Linked DNA regions of Drosophila melanogaster. The protein of the gene in region 1 purifies or fractionates together with the protein of each later gene. This does not show direct contact. Each region holds a gene or a part of one and is shown on either strand. Other genes may lie near its edges. The genes, in order: alphaTub85E and ringer.

Region 1 (4,439 bases):
GATAAAGCGCGACAGCACCGTATGACTATAGAAATTCCACAGGGTATTCGACACGCCCCTGTGATTAGGATTTACAATTTTCTGTATTCTGCATTTCGAACTCAATAGAATAAACTTTTTATACCACTTTATTATCGAAAATACAACAATATTCTGGAGAGATCAATTATTTTCGGCCAAATATGAAGTGTTAGTTTTAAACGTTGTTAATTATAAGTTACACGACATCAATATCCAATGAAATAACTAATAGGTTTTAAATTGTGCAAGCAGAACAGTGGTTTACTTGTGGCCAATGCAAATACTTTAACTGAAGTTTTTAAAAATCCTAGACTACTGGCATCGGATCAGACGAATTTATAGACTGGAGTTATTGTTATTGTATTATTTATGATTGATTGTATTTATTTGTGAGGCAATTATGTAAAAATTCGTTTTTTTTCACTTTCGCACTATTCATTATTTCGGAATATGTAGAAGGATAATTCAAAATGTTTGCGGCCATGGTTTTCGTTGTTATAAGTAAAAAGAAATGTTTGGTAATACTTGTGTTTGCGTACCCAATACCCAACTTTAAACTAACTTTAAACTAAAGCCCAGCCAATTTGTTATATGTTTTTCGTTAAAGAGAAATAAAAAACCCAAATGCACCAGAGAATAGGTTTAGTCAAATAAAATTTGACGAAACGATTGCTTCCTTCTATTGAAGCCAATGCAGCTTTTTTGATACATTCCGTGATGATAAATAATTTTGGAATAACTTGCTCAAATATATATGTACTAACTCAGTGTAAAGTTGGAGGAAATAATGCCCATTTTTTTCTTACAACGCTGGCCGGCATTTATTTTGAAATACTTAATTTTGTACTGGTCGAACTTACATAAAACTTATATTTAAAAATACCATATATATTAGGAATTTAGCGTAAAATTACTGTGAGCAGTATTATAATATCTAAGTTATAAATAAAAAATAAATTAAAAGTAAAAATGGCTGTTTAATTCGAAACATGCGCTACGCTTTCATTTCGCTATGAAGATTATTCATCTTAAATTTTTAAGTGAATGTTTTGTTTATTTCTTCTTATCACACAGCTACATACTCATTGCAATCTGACACATAAACAACAAATAAGACCTTTGGCTTTTAGATTTTATTTAATGTTTGGAACAATTATTTGAAAAGTATCTTGTTTTGTAATTTTTTCTTTGTTTTTCTGGGTGTGTCCGATTGAAATCGTAAGTGGCGTTCATATTCCTAATACGTCAGCGAATAATTGGCCAAGTTTCCACCAAAAGAAATGCCAGGTTTGGCCCCACCTCGACAATTTCATCTGTTTATGCTGATTTCCTAGTGCAATTTTAAAAATAAATATGGGGTATATTTGGATTTTCATATGCTTATATTTTTCAACAGAAATAAGACTTGCTTTCCAAGTGGAGACTAGTACCCAGTAAGTAAATAATCTAAAATGTTGTCAACAACCTACAGCTGCGAATGTGAATGGATCAATGTGAGAATTCAATCCATCCATAAACACACGAGGAGGAAAACAAAATTCGATCAAGAGGCGACTTCTTGGTCATGTGTGTCTGGATGGGTTGGGTGCCTATCGTCACTTAAGTCGATGAACGCGTCCACATTTCACATAACTTCCACATATAGCATGTAGCATATAGCATATGCTACATATGTCTGTCTTGGGGGCTTATAAAAGAACGCGTATCGTCAAGATTCGGTTAGTTGACTCCCAGCTGTGTGTCGCATCACAGACCAGTGCTAGGATTTTCGTGATTGAATCTGCTTTTTTAAACTTCAGCTTAAACTTTTGATCATCATGGTAAGGATAATAGGCACTTTCAATGATTTAGCTGGACTTTTGAAATTTCGTCGGCTGCACAGAACTATGGATCCTTAAAAGTCCTTATATGCGATTTCATGCAAAACTAGACCATATGGTGCAATATTTATTCATTTTTGCAAGTGATTAATTAATGGTTTTAAAAAATATAACTGCTTGTAAACTATTATCTTAAATGAATACCCAAGAACTTACAGCGATCAAAATTGTTTGTAGCATATGGTCCAAATCACAGATTTGCAACCGGAAGTCCAAAGTTAAATTTTAGAATTACCCAAATTTACAGCGACATGAGTCACATTATTATAAACTCTGTTCCAGAGGGAATGCATTTCGGTTCACATTGGCCAAGCTGGTGTCCAGATCGGCAATGCCTGCTGGGAACTTTACTGCCTGGAGCACGGCATCCAGCCCGATGGCCATATGCCCTCCGATAAAACCGTGGGCGGAGGCGATGACTCCTTCAGCACCTTCTTCAGCGAGACTGGAGCTGGTAAGCATGTGCCGCGTGCCGTGTTCGTGGATCTGGAGCCCACTGTGGTGGATGAGGTGCGGACAGGAACCTACCGCCAGCTGTTCCATCCGGAGCAACTGATCACCGGTAAGGAGGATGCGGCCAACAACTATGCCCGCGGCCACTATACCATCGGTAAGGAGATCGTCGACGTGGTCCTGGACAGGATTCGCAAGTTGGCGGATCAGTGCACGGGTCTGCAGGGATTCCTGGTCTTCCACTCCTTCGGCGGCGGCACTGGCTCTGGATTTACGTCGCTGCTGATGGAGCGCCTGTCCGTGGACTATGGAAAGAAGTCAAAGCTGGAGTTCTCCATTTACCCAGCACCACAAGTATGTCATTTGCATATGGATATTATATCTATTGCTTGAGCATTTATAGAAGACCAATTAACATAATTAGTAAAAGACATGGGAAATTAGTCTTCGAAAGGCAATCTAATAATCGAACTTCCTGTTAGGTGTCCACAGCTGTGGTCGAGCCATACAACTCGATCTTAACCACCCACACAACGCTGGAGCACTCGGACTGTGCGTTTATGGTTGACAACGAGGCAATCTACGACATCTGCCGGCGCAACTTGGATATCGAGCGACCCACCTACATGAATCTCAATCGCCTAATTGGCCAGATCGTTTCCTCCATTACGGCCTCGTTGCGCTTCGATGGCGCCCTGAATGTGGATCTGACCGAGTTCCAGACCAATTTGGTGCCCTACCCACGCATTCATTTCCCACTGGCGACATACGCTCCCGTCATTTCCGTGGAGAAGGCCTACCATGAGCAACTGACCGTGGCCGAGATCACCAATGCCTGCTTCGAGCCGGCCAACCAGATGGTCAAGTGTGATCCGCGTCGTGGCAAGTACATGGCCTGCTGCATGCTCTACCGCGGTGATGTGGTGCCCAAGGATGTGAACGCAGCCATTGCCACCATCAAGACCAAGCGCTCTATCCAGTTCGTCGACTGGTGTCCCACGGGCTTCAAGGTGGGCATCAACTATCAGCCACCCACCGTTGTTCCTGGCGGAGATCTGGCCAAGGTGCAGCGCGCCGTCTGCATGCTGTCCAATACCACTGCCATTGCCGAGGCCTGGGCCCGTCTGGATCACAAGTTCGATCTGATGTACGCCAAGAGGGCCTTCGTCCACTGGTACGTGGGTGAGGGCATGGAGGAGGGCGAGTTCGCCGAGGCTCGCGAGGATCTCGCTGCCCTCGAGAAGGACTACGAGGAGGTAGGCATCGACTCCACCACCGAACTGGGGGAAGATGAGGAATACTAGAGAAAACGTTGTCAACAAATGATACAGCCATTACAACTTTATAAACATCACTTTCTTTCTACCAAATACCAATGCATAAAACAGTTTCGCAATAAAACAGTTTAACACAATTGCTTAAAATGGCTTATTTAAATGGGAAATATTCGTCTTTAGATGGAATTTAACTTTTGTGTTAATAAGAATAAAACTTTCTCATATAAGGAAATTGGTAAATCATATATTTATTGGAAATTACCCCTCCGTAAAAAACCCTACTTATCACTTTCTTATTGCTTTAAATATTAATATTAATTGGGCAAATTAATGTTGACTTTTAAAAGTTTTTAATTTTTGAAATCGTTACGTGTAATGGAGCCTTAGGATGCATTTTGAAACGCATGCGCAAAAATGTGTACACATATTTCTAGCAAATTCAGTAGTCGTAGACGTACCTTTTCAGGAGTAGCAGCGAAAAATATTCTTAAGATAGTTTTTAAGTTTAAATTAATTTTACATATATGTGAAAAGTTGTATTAAAAAATTCGCCCGTTATTAAATATAATATTGTTCTTTGGAAACCTCTGTGAATGTTATTTAATTGTAAATGTACATGCAAAATTGTATCCTCTTTTGTCTGCAAAATTGTATGTGCATGTATGTATTCGCAAAATTTAAGTCTAGTCTGTTAAGTTAATTAAGATATTGTTGAGTAGTCTAGGCAGACAACTTTATCTTAAAAGTCCCAGTTTAAACAGTTCTTATACAGAAATTGTATGATATGTATACATATGAAATATGAATA
Region 2 (7,454 bases), on another chromosome or scaffold:
TAATACTTGGTTAGATACATATGTATGTACATAAGAAATATATGTTTTATGCGAAGAGCTTACAAATATGACACAGAAAAGGGTTAATTAAATCGTTAAGTCCGCTAAATAAATAATATAATGTGAATTTTTAGACACCTTATAGTATACACTGAAGATATATACTTATTTCAACCGGACACTAAGAAAACCCCCTAAGAATATGTTTCCCATCCGCCTCTGATGCACTGCAGCTGCATTGGTATCTCCTGTTCCTCCTTCGCTGGTCATTTTTATTTTTAGCAGCGGGCTTATCGGATGCCTCAGATCTCTGGTGCTTAAACTTCGCTCCCGATTAGGAGGAGGAGGAGGAGCAACTGCAAGAACCACATTGGATTGGCCTTGACGGCTCGGCTGATAAGTGCGTTTTAATGTTAGCCCCGTTGGCACTCAGTTTCAATCAAAGCCCAATTCTCTACAACCATTCCAGCCTGGCTTAATGAGCTGGTTAGTTCTGGCCTGGAATTGAAGTTGGATTGGCAATATAGTCCGGTCCACTTGGTTCACTCCCTTTGTTCTGTCTCGAGTGGACTGTGCCCTGATTTGTGTACCACCATTGGTTCTTTGAACTGCCTTCGTGGCTAATTAAAGGTGCACTTAAGATAGGCCAGGTGGCAAGAATCATGTTTTTCATTTTTCAGGACTGGGAGTACTTTGATTTTATGTCCTAGAAAAAAAGAGCAAACGAATCAGTCTAAAAGGTATTTCAGCTGTAAAACATTCCATAAATATAGGAAATTTAACTCTTTCTAATTTTAATTAAAGAATATTCTAAACGTCATCTGGTCAATAAACTAAATGAATATTGTAGAATGAAATATTTAAATTACATATCAAACATTGTATATTAAATAATAATAATCAATGGACCTCTGTTTGTAATACCTAATGCTTAATTTACGAAATTAATTAGAAGTCTCCTCAGGGTATTTCGTTTTCCAAGTTAGTCTTTCAGTTGCTTTGTATTTTGGTTTTGGGCCAGGGCTATGACTTCATCGAGTTGGCCACAAAAACTTACCAAATTCTTCCGACCGTCAGTTCTCATAAATCAATGTCAAAGGTTTTTTTTTCGTTCGTTTAGGGTTTGTTTTGGGTTTAGGACGGGCTTGTTGTTTCAGTATGTGTTTAATCATTTTATGGAGTGCGAAGTAATTTCCTTATGATTTCCTATTTGACTTTTACTTTTTCCTGAATGTCCAAAATAGAAAAGTTCAAAGAACCCATTTACCTAGTAAGGCGGTCGACAAATCTTAACCGCTTGAAATAAGTACTCATTTGCATAGCTAAGCATGAGCTCACTGGTTAGTATAGCCCAAGTCACACCCCAAAAACACGTCTAAGTAAGCCCAAAAGATACACCCTTCATTATTCGAATTGTCTGGCACTTGTTGTGTGTGTTTTTTGCCCAACAATTTCACGCATCGTTTTTTGTTTTTTTGCGCTTAAACAAATTTACTGACTACAAACTCACTGTTTTAGTAGCTCAGACTGTGTGGCGAACCCCTCCCCTTCTCTTTAGACAATATAAAATCAGGAAAAGCTTTAAGCTTTATTCCCTAGAATTTCACTCACAACAAACCAAAATTTTGAGTGTAACTTGTTGGTTTGATAAGATTCTGGTGTGTAGCGTCACTTTTGTTATTCTGAGTTGTTTTTAGGTCTCGTTTGTTTCTTTTTCTTTCTGATAAATGGCTTCGTCGTGTGGCTTTCGTTGTTAGTTTTCGTGTATAAAATTTTGCGAAATGAAGTCATCGCTTGAAAAAAAATTGGGGGGTCAGTAAAAGTGTCTATAAGATCCAAATCGTTTTCCTTATCTCATTCAGAAAGTTTTGGAATTTATGTTAGCTCACCAACGATTTGCCATCTTTTCTTTGGATAAAATGCTAAGGAGGATTTTCCTTTTTGAGTTTCTATTTCACTCAGCGAAAGCTCACTCAAAACAAAAATATCACTCATACGCCGCTTGGGCCTTCGCTAGCCACTGGCTGCGCATTTGTCCAAACAGTTGAGTTTCGACATCGCCAGCATTCGCGCGTTTGCCTTAAAGTGATTGGAAAATAGCCGAGGAATAAAACAAATATTTTTTTGGAAATATATTCAAGAATTTTTGGAACTTTTTTAATAACAAATGTAAGTTGGAAACGTTTCGAGAAAAATAATCTAGTTCGTTGGATTTATTTTTTTTTTTAAAATGTTACTGTATCCTGCATCTATAAGCAGACTCCGAGCCAAGGATATTTTTTTTATTCATTTTATGAGTAGCAGGTTCATATTTTCAAGAGCAGATTTTGACCCACTTACCGCGCATCGCGTTCCCCTTTTCTTTTGTTCCTGGGGAGCACCATTGTTTTCGATTTCCTTTGGGAGGTCCTGATTTAGGCGCATTTTCCCCGCTTCCGTGTGTATATATGCGTGCATTTGAATCATCAGTCTGAAATTCCAGTACCGAGACCCCCCAGGAAACCCCTTCTCCAAACTGGCGCTTGCGCGTTTCCCAGCTCCCAGTGATGTCATCTGGGCTAGTGGTGATGTAGCTACACATTTCATACACATATTATGTCCCGAGCATAAGTCCCCCTCCTAAGTCAATGATTTCTCTATTGCGTTGCGTGCTCTATCAGAATGCCCATGACTTCCTGTTTTGTTCCCCCCAAAATAAAAGTTCTCTTTAATTTATGCATTCAGTCCGAGGTGCTAATATTTCTGTGTGTTTATTAACACACGTAAACTCATATGTGGTGCAGTATTTCATGTTTCTCCCCCCAAAGTCGTTTGTTTTATAAATATACATCGAGATGACCCAAATTTCGCTTCCTCCATTCGCTTTCCAGCGGTCCACTTGAGGTAGGTTGGGTTTATAATTGCGTTCCCCTCTCCAGGAAGTCCATTCTTTTCGAAAATGGCTATCTATAATATTCATTCATATTCCTATTCAAATTGTGGTCATATGTCATATATATTGCCCAATTAACTTTTACCATTTTGGTAGAAAACTAATTAAAATGTTGGCAACGAATTCGCAATGCTCGACTGGAGCTGGATGAGAACTTGTTCTCCAAATCGAAAATACAGAGAAAGAATCCAAAACAGAGATGGGAAATGAGAAGAATCGAATTATTTATGGTCTGACAAGCAAGCGGATTATTTCTGATTTAGACTATCCACGCTCCCCATCAGACTGCCTGATTTTCTGCCATTCATTTCACGAGGGGTATCTGCACTTTGAGTTGCCAAAGAATATTAAGAAAATAATTTATTTTGTGTGAATATAGTATCCAAGTCTGATCAGGGTATCATAGGATGAGTCTTTCCATTGTCGATTGCGATGATTTAATACTTCCGCTTTTTAAATTGATTACGATCATCTTAAACTGTTAGTATTTCCCTCGAATAATTATAATATTTAGATTTTTGTAAAACCTTTCAGAAAATTATTAGCAATCGGGCTTCTATTAAAAATCAAACTAATAACGTCAATCTTAGTGTAGAAAATTGGATCTAACAATCCGAACTATTTGCATTGGCTGATGGTAGTTAAAAAAGATTGATTTTACTAATATTACAAAATGAATTCTATTGTGAAAAAAAGCATTTTGAAAGCCACCATAGATAACCTAAAGATATTTCTTATTAGTTTTGATTTTACAGGTAATTTCCTAGTCGATAGCCTCTTGTTTTTTGCCATCTTAAAACTCTTCTTGCATATTCCAACTTCTTTTGTGGTGTAGTTTGTCAACTTTTCTTGTTTCCGAGTATTTATGGCTTCCAATTACATGTAGGGGCGGAGTAAAGGGTTCCATTAGTCTTGTCCGGGAACTGGGACCGGATAATTTGTATCGTCTTGAGCGGAGTTCAAGTTCAATGGCCCTGGTCTTGAGACCAATAAGATGATTAATGACCGGCAGACTTGCTATGCATGCAATGTTCCCAATTAACCACTCAGTTTACATAGATCATTTCGATGGATTATCTGGGGAATATGGGCTATTAAATTGCCTCACCCCAGAGCTATTCAAAGCTGATCCCAGAACAGCGTAATCAAGAGCCGGCGTAATGAGGCGATGACATAAGCACTCATTTTTCGATTTGGATTGCGAATGGGGCTAGGGGGTGGTAAAATAGTATTTGACATGCTCGACGGGCTGCATCAAGGTCATGGTGATTCTACCCCGCCCGTCCACTTCGATTTCGATTCGCATCTGTGCGGGCACAAGCCGTGGCATCATATCTCACGGATAGAGGACTCCAAACTGGTTGCAGTCGCATCTTATCGCCGCATTAAATGCTTGCCCAAACGGCTTCCATCTCTCCTGGGGCTCCAACTTGCAACCTTAAGTGGTGCGTAATTAATGGCTCCGCCAATAAATGCTCACGTTTTATTTACTGTTTATGGAATGATGGGGATGGGTCTGAGGATTCGACTTCGTGTTGGGTAGCCTGTAAACAAGAGGACAATTTATGCTACAAGCAATTTTAAAACTAAATTATCATCCAAATTTATGCCACGTTCGGTGGGTAACAAATTAAGCGAGGAATTTCTGGCGATGCGTAAAATATTTATTGCTCTTTTTGTTATTTTAATAAGCGTAAAAGTGATTCATTTTAATAATTTTAGGGTATATCTATAACTGTATAGCTGTACCGTAAATACCTAATATCGCCTTAGGATTATTAAAACCCATGATAACTGCATGCTAGAGACTAATCATAAAAGATCTAGCAAGCTAGCGCTAAGTTCTGACCCCCATAGAGTAACCCATGTGAGCCAAACCTGTTGACTATTTGTTTTGTGTATTTGGGTTTGCCAAAAGGCGATAATTAGCTGCGTTGGGAGATGGGGGACCCAAACCGATGACGCCATCTAATGATTGAGTCTCTCCCAATTTGCCTTTAGATTTCCATCTCTCGAAATCTAGCTGAGAGAGCTTTGGCCTAGCTTTGGGTGGGTATAGCTTTGCCTTTGTCCAGTTCAGCATGGGTTGTGATATCATTGCGAAAGCGAAGTGAGTAAAGTACTGATAAGGTGTTCGCAAAGATACGTCTGGGAATAGCACCTACATATGTAGATAGTTGACAGTGACGGACAAGACCCACCGCAATGTTGGTGAGCGTTGTGGCCCACAGGTGAGGAACTGCGTAGGTGACAACCGTAGTCAACCGATTACGCAGGAGCGGAAAAGTTGCGTGTTGGAAGAAACCACTACAAAATGTTAAACAAAACAATGACCTATCAGGCTAGGCATATTATTAATAATAAATGATCCTCAGTCCATCTGTAAAATTGAAGGTTCTTTGTCCGTAGTTGTTTATTTATTACTGGGCATCTATTAAAACACCTGTAGGGTTCAGTAAAGGTTAAAAAAATATATATAATATTAAATATATTTTTCAGATCCACCATGTCCGAGGTAGCTGCAGCAAATGGAAGCCCCTCCCCAGCGCCAACTCCTGAGGTGCCCGCTACCGAGTTGGCCCAATTGGCGCTGGAGGATGAGCCCAAGGTTAGCTTTTCGGATCAGTTCAAGGCCTTCTCCAAGTTCGGGGACTCCAAGTCCGATGGCAAGCTGATAACGCTGTCGCAGAGTGACAAGTGGATGAAACAGGCCAAAGTTATCGACAAGAAGATCACCACCACGGATACAGGCATCCACTTCAAGAAGTTCAAGGCCATGAAGATCTCGCTCAGCGACTACAACAAATTCCTGGACGATCTGGCCAAGACGAAAAAGGTGGAGCTGTCGGAGATCAAGCAAAAGTTGGCCAGTTGTGGAGCTCCAGGAGTTGTGTCCGTTTCGGTGGGTTTGATAAATTGGTTGTGAAAAATATGATCTATATAAGTCAAATGATTAAGATTGATTTTAAAGTGTAAAGAACTTCGAGAAGACCATTTAGATATGACAAAATTTAAATGATTTTTTTTTGACTCATTTAAACTATCAATTGTTAAAGTAGTTTTCTTACAGAAGTTCTTAAAAAATATCTTTTTAAACCTTTGAAAGTCATAACCATATACTTTATGCCTTTATTGAAAACCTAATCAACATTTTGTTACCATTTTTAGGCTGGAAAAGCCGCAGCTGCCGTGGATCGATTGACGGATACGAGCAAGTACACCGGTTCCCACAAGGAGCGTTTCGATGCCTCCGGAAAGGGCAAGGGTATCGCGGGCAGACGGAACGTGGTCGATGGATCCGGATATGTGAGTGGCTACCAGCACAAGGACACCTACGACAATGCCCACTAGATGGGGTAACCACCGTTTTTCACCCTCTCATAAATCTGTATTTCTAACTTTTGTGTTTCCCTAGTTAATGTCTCCCAATCTAATTTATCTTTGTGTATATAATAAGTTTGTGATAATTTAAGTGCTTACAAATAAACTTATATTTTTGATTATAATTTTTGAGTTCCTTTACTTTGTTTATCCTTCTTTGTCCTTTGATACGTAAAATTTTGAAGCGGCCCAAAAAGAGTTCAAAAGTAAATCCAAATCAAATTTATATACATTTCATGGCAATCAAACCCATGTTTGGTAGTCTTAAGATAACAGATAAACTTTTAATATTACAATTTGTGAAAGAAATTTAAATATCACATATGGAAACCAAAGATATACGACATACATATGTAGATATATGTTATGTTTTCACAAGAATTTTGCTTGAATAAATACACTTTAAAATATTTGCATTGCTAAAATTTGTATTGGGAGGAAATACAATTTAAAAAACCAAAATTTTAAAGCAATTAAGATGGTTTTGTAAATCGAAATATACATTTAATTGTAAGATCTTTGAAAAATGCCCAACATGTGTACCTTCTTAAAAGCAAAGATTTCACTGGAAGATAGTTATTAAGAGATCATTGCTTTATCTACACAATGACATTATCACTGATGCAAAGCTGACATCGAAAAACCGGAGCGGTGTGAAGCAGACTGAACGCTACAGCGACCAGATGGGGATGGAAATTGATATATGGGCATAAGTTGCATAATCCTAACCCAGAGCAGGTGGAAAACTAGCTATTGATTGCAGTCGAACCAAAGTCACTCAACGATATATCATATAGCCCTTGGGAAATAGGTATAAAAGCGGCGAACATTACAGCTCCAAGTCAGCAGTGCAACTGAGGAGCTCAGTGCTTGATGAAGCCACAAGGAATACCACCGACTACTACACGAATCAGCCAGACCAAGATGTCCTTTCGCGGCAAGAATGCAGTGGTGACCGGTGGAGCTGGAGGCATTGGACTGCAGGTGTCCAAGCAGCTCCTGGCCGCTGGAGCAGCGGTTGGTTGTTTTACACATAATTACGTGAAGTAATTTCTAAAGCGAGTGCTTCCTAGAAGGTGGCCATCATTGATTTGCAGGATAATCTGGAGGAGTTTGTAAAACTTAGGGCCGCTCATCCCAC

What was found.
Region 2: the proteins of alphaTub85E (region 1) and ringer purify together in Drosophila melanogaster (affinity purification with western blotting, with the first as the bait; one study listed by BioGRID). This does not show direct contact.

What each region holds. Positions count from the first base shown.
Region 1 is NT_033777.3:9,730,548-9,734,986, reverse strand, and holds alphaTub85E (alpha-Tubulin at 85E), read left to right. Parts: upstream 1-1,736; 5' UTR 1,737-1,838; coding exon 1,839-1,841; intron 1,842-2,183; coding exon 2,184-2,708; intron 2,709-2,836; coding exon 2,837-3,658; 3' UTR 3,659-3,766; downstream 3,767-4,439. Other genes in the region: side-VII (sidestep VII), read left to right, coding at 1-25. UniProt on the Drosophila melanogaster protein: Tubulin is the major constituent of microtubules, a cylinder consisting of laterally associated linear protofilaments composed of alpha- and beta-tubulin heterodimers.
Region 2 is NT_037436.4:16,354,014-16,361,467, reverse strand, and holds ringer (ringmaker), read left to right. Parts: upstream 1-2,039; 5' UTR 2,040-2,169; intron 2,170-5,019; exon of another isoform or gene 5,020-5,163; intron 5,164-5,276; exon of another isoform or gene 5,277-5,377; intron 5,378-5,431; 5' UTR 5,432-5,438; coding exon 5,439-5,834; intron 5,835-6,100; coding exon 6,101-6,283; 3' UTR 6,284-6,722; downstream 6,723-7,454. Other genes in the region: Pdh (photoreceptor dehydrogenase), read left to right, coding at 7,187-7,330, 7,387-7,454.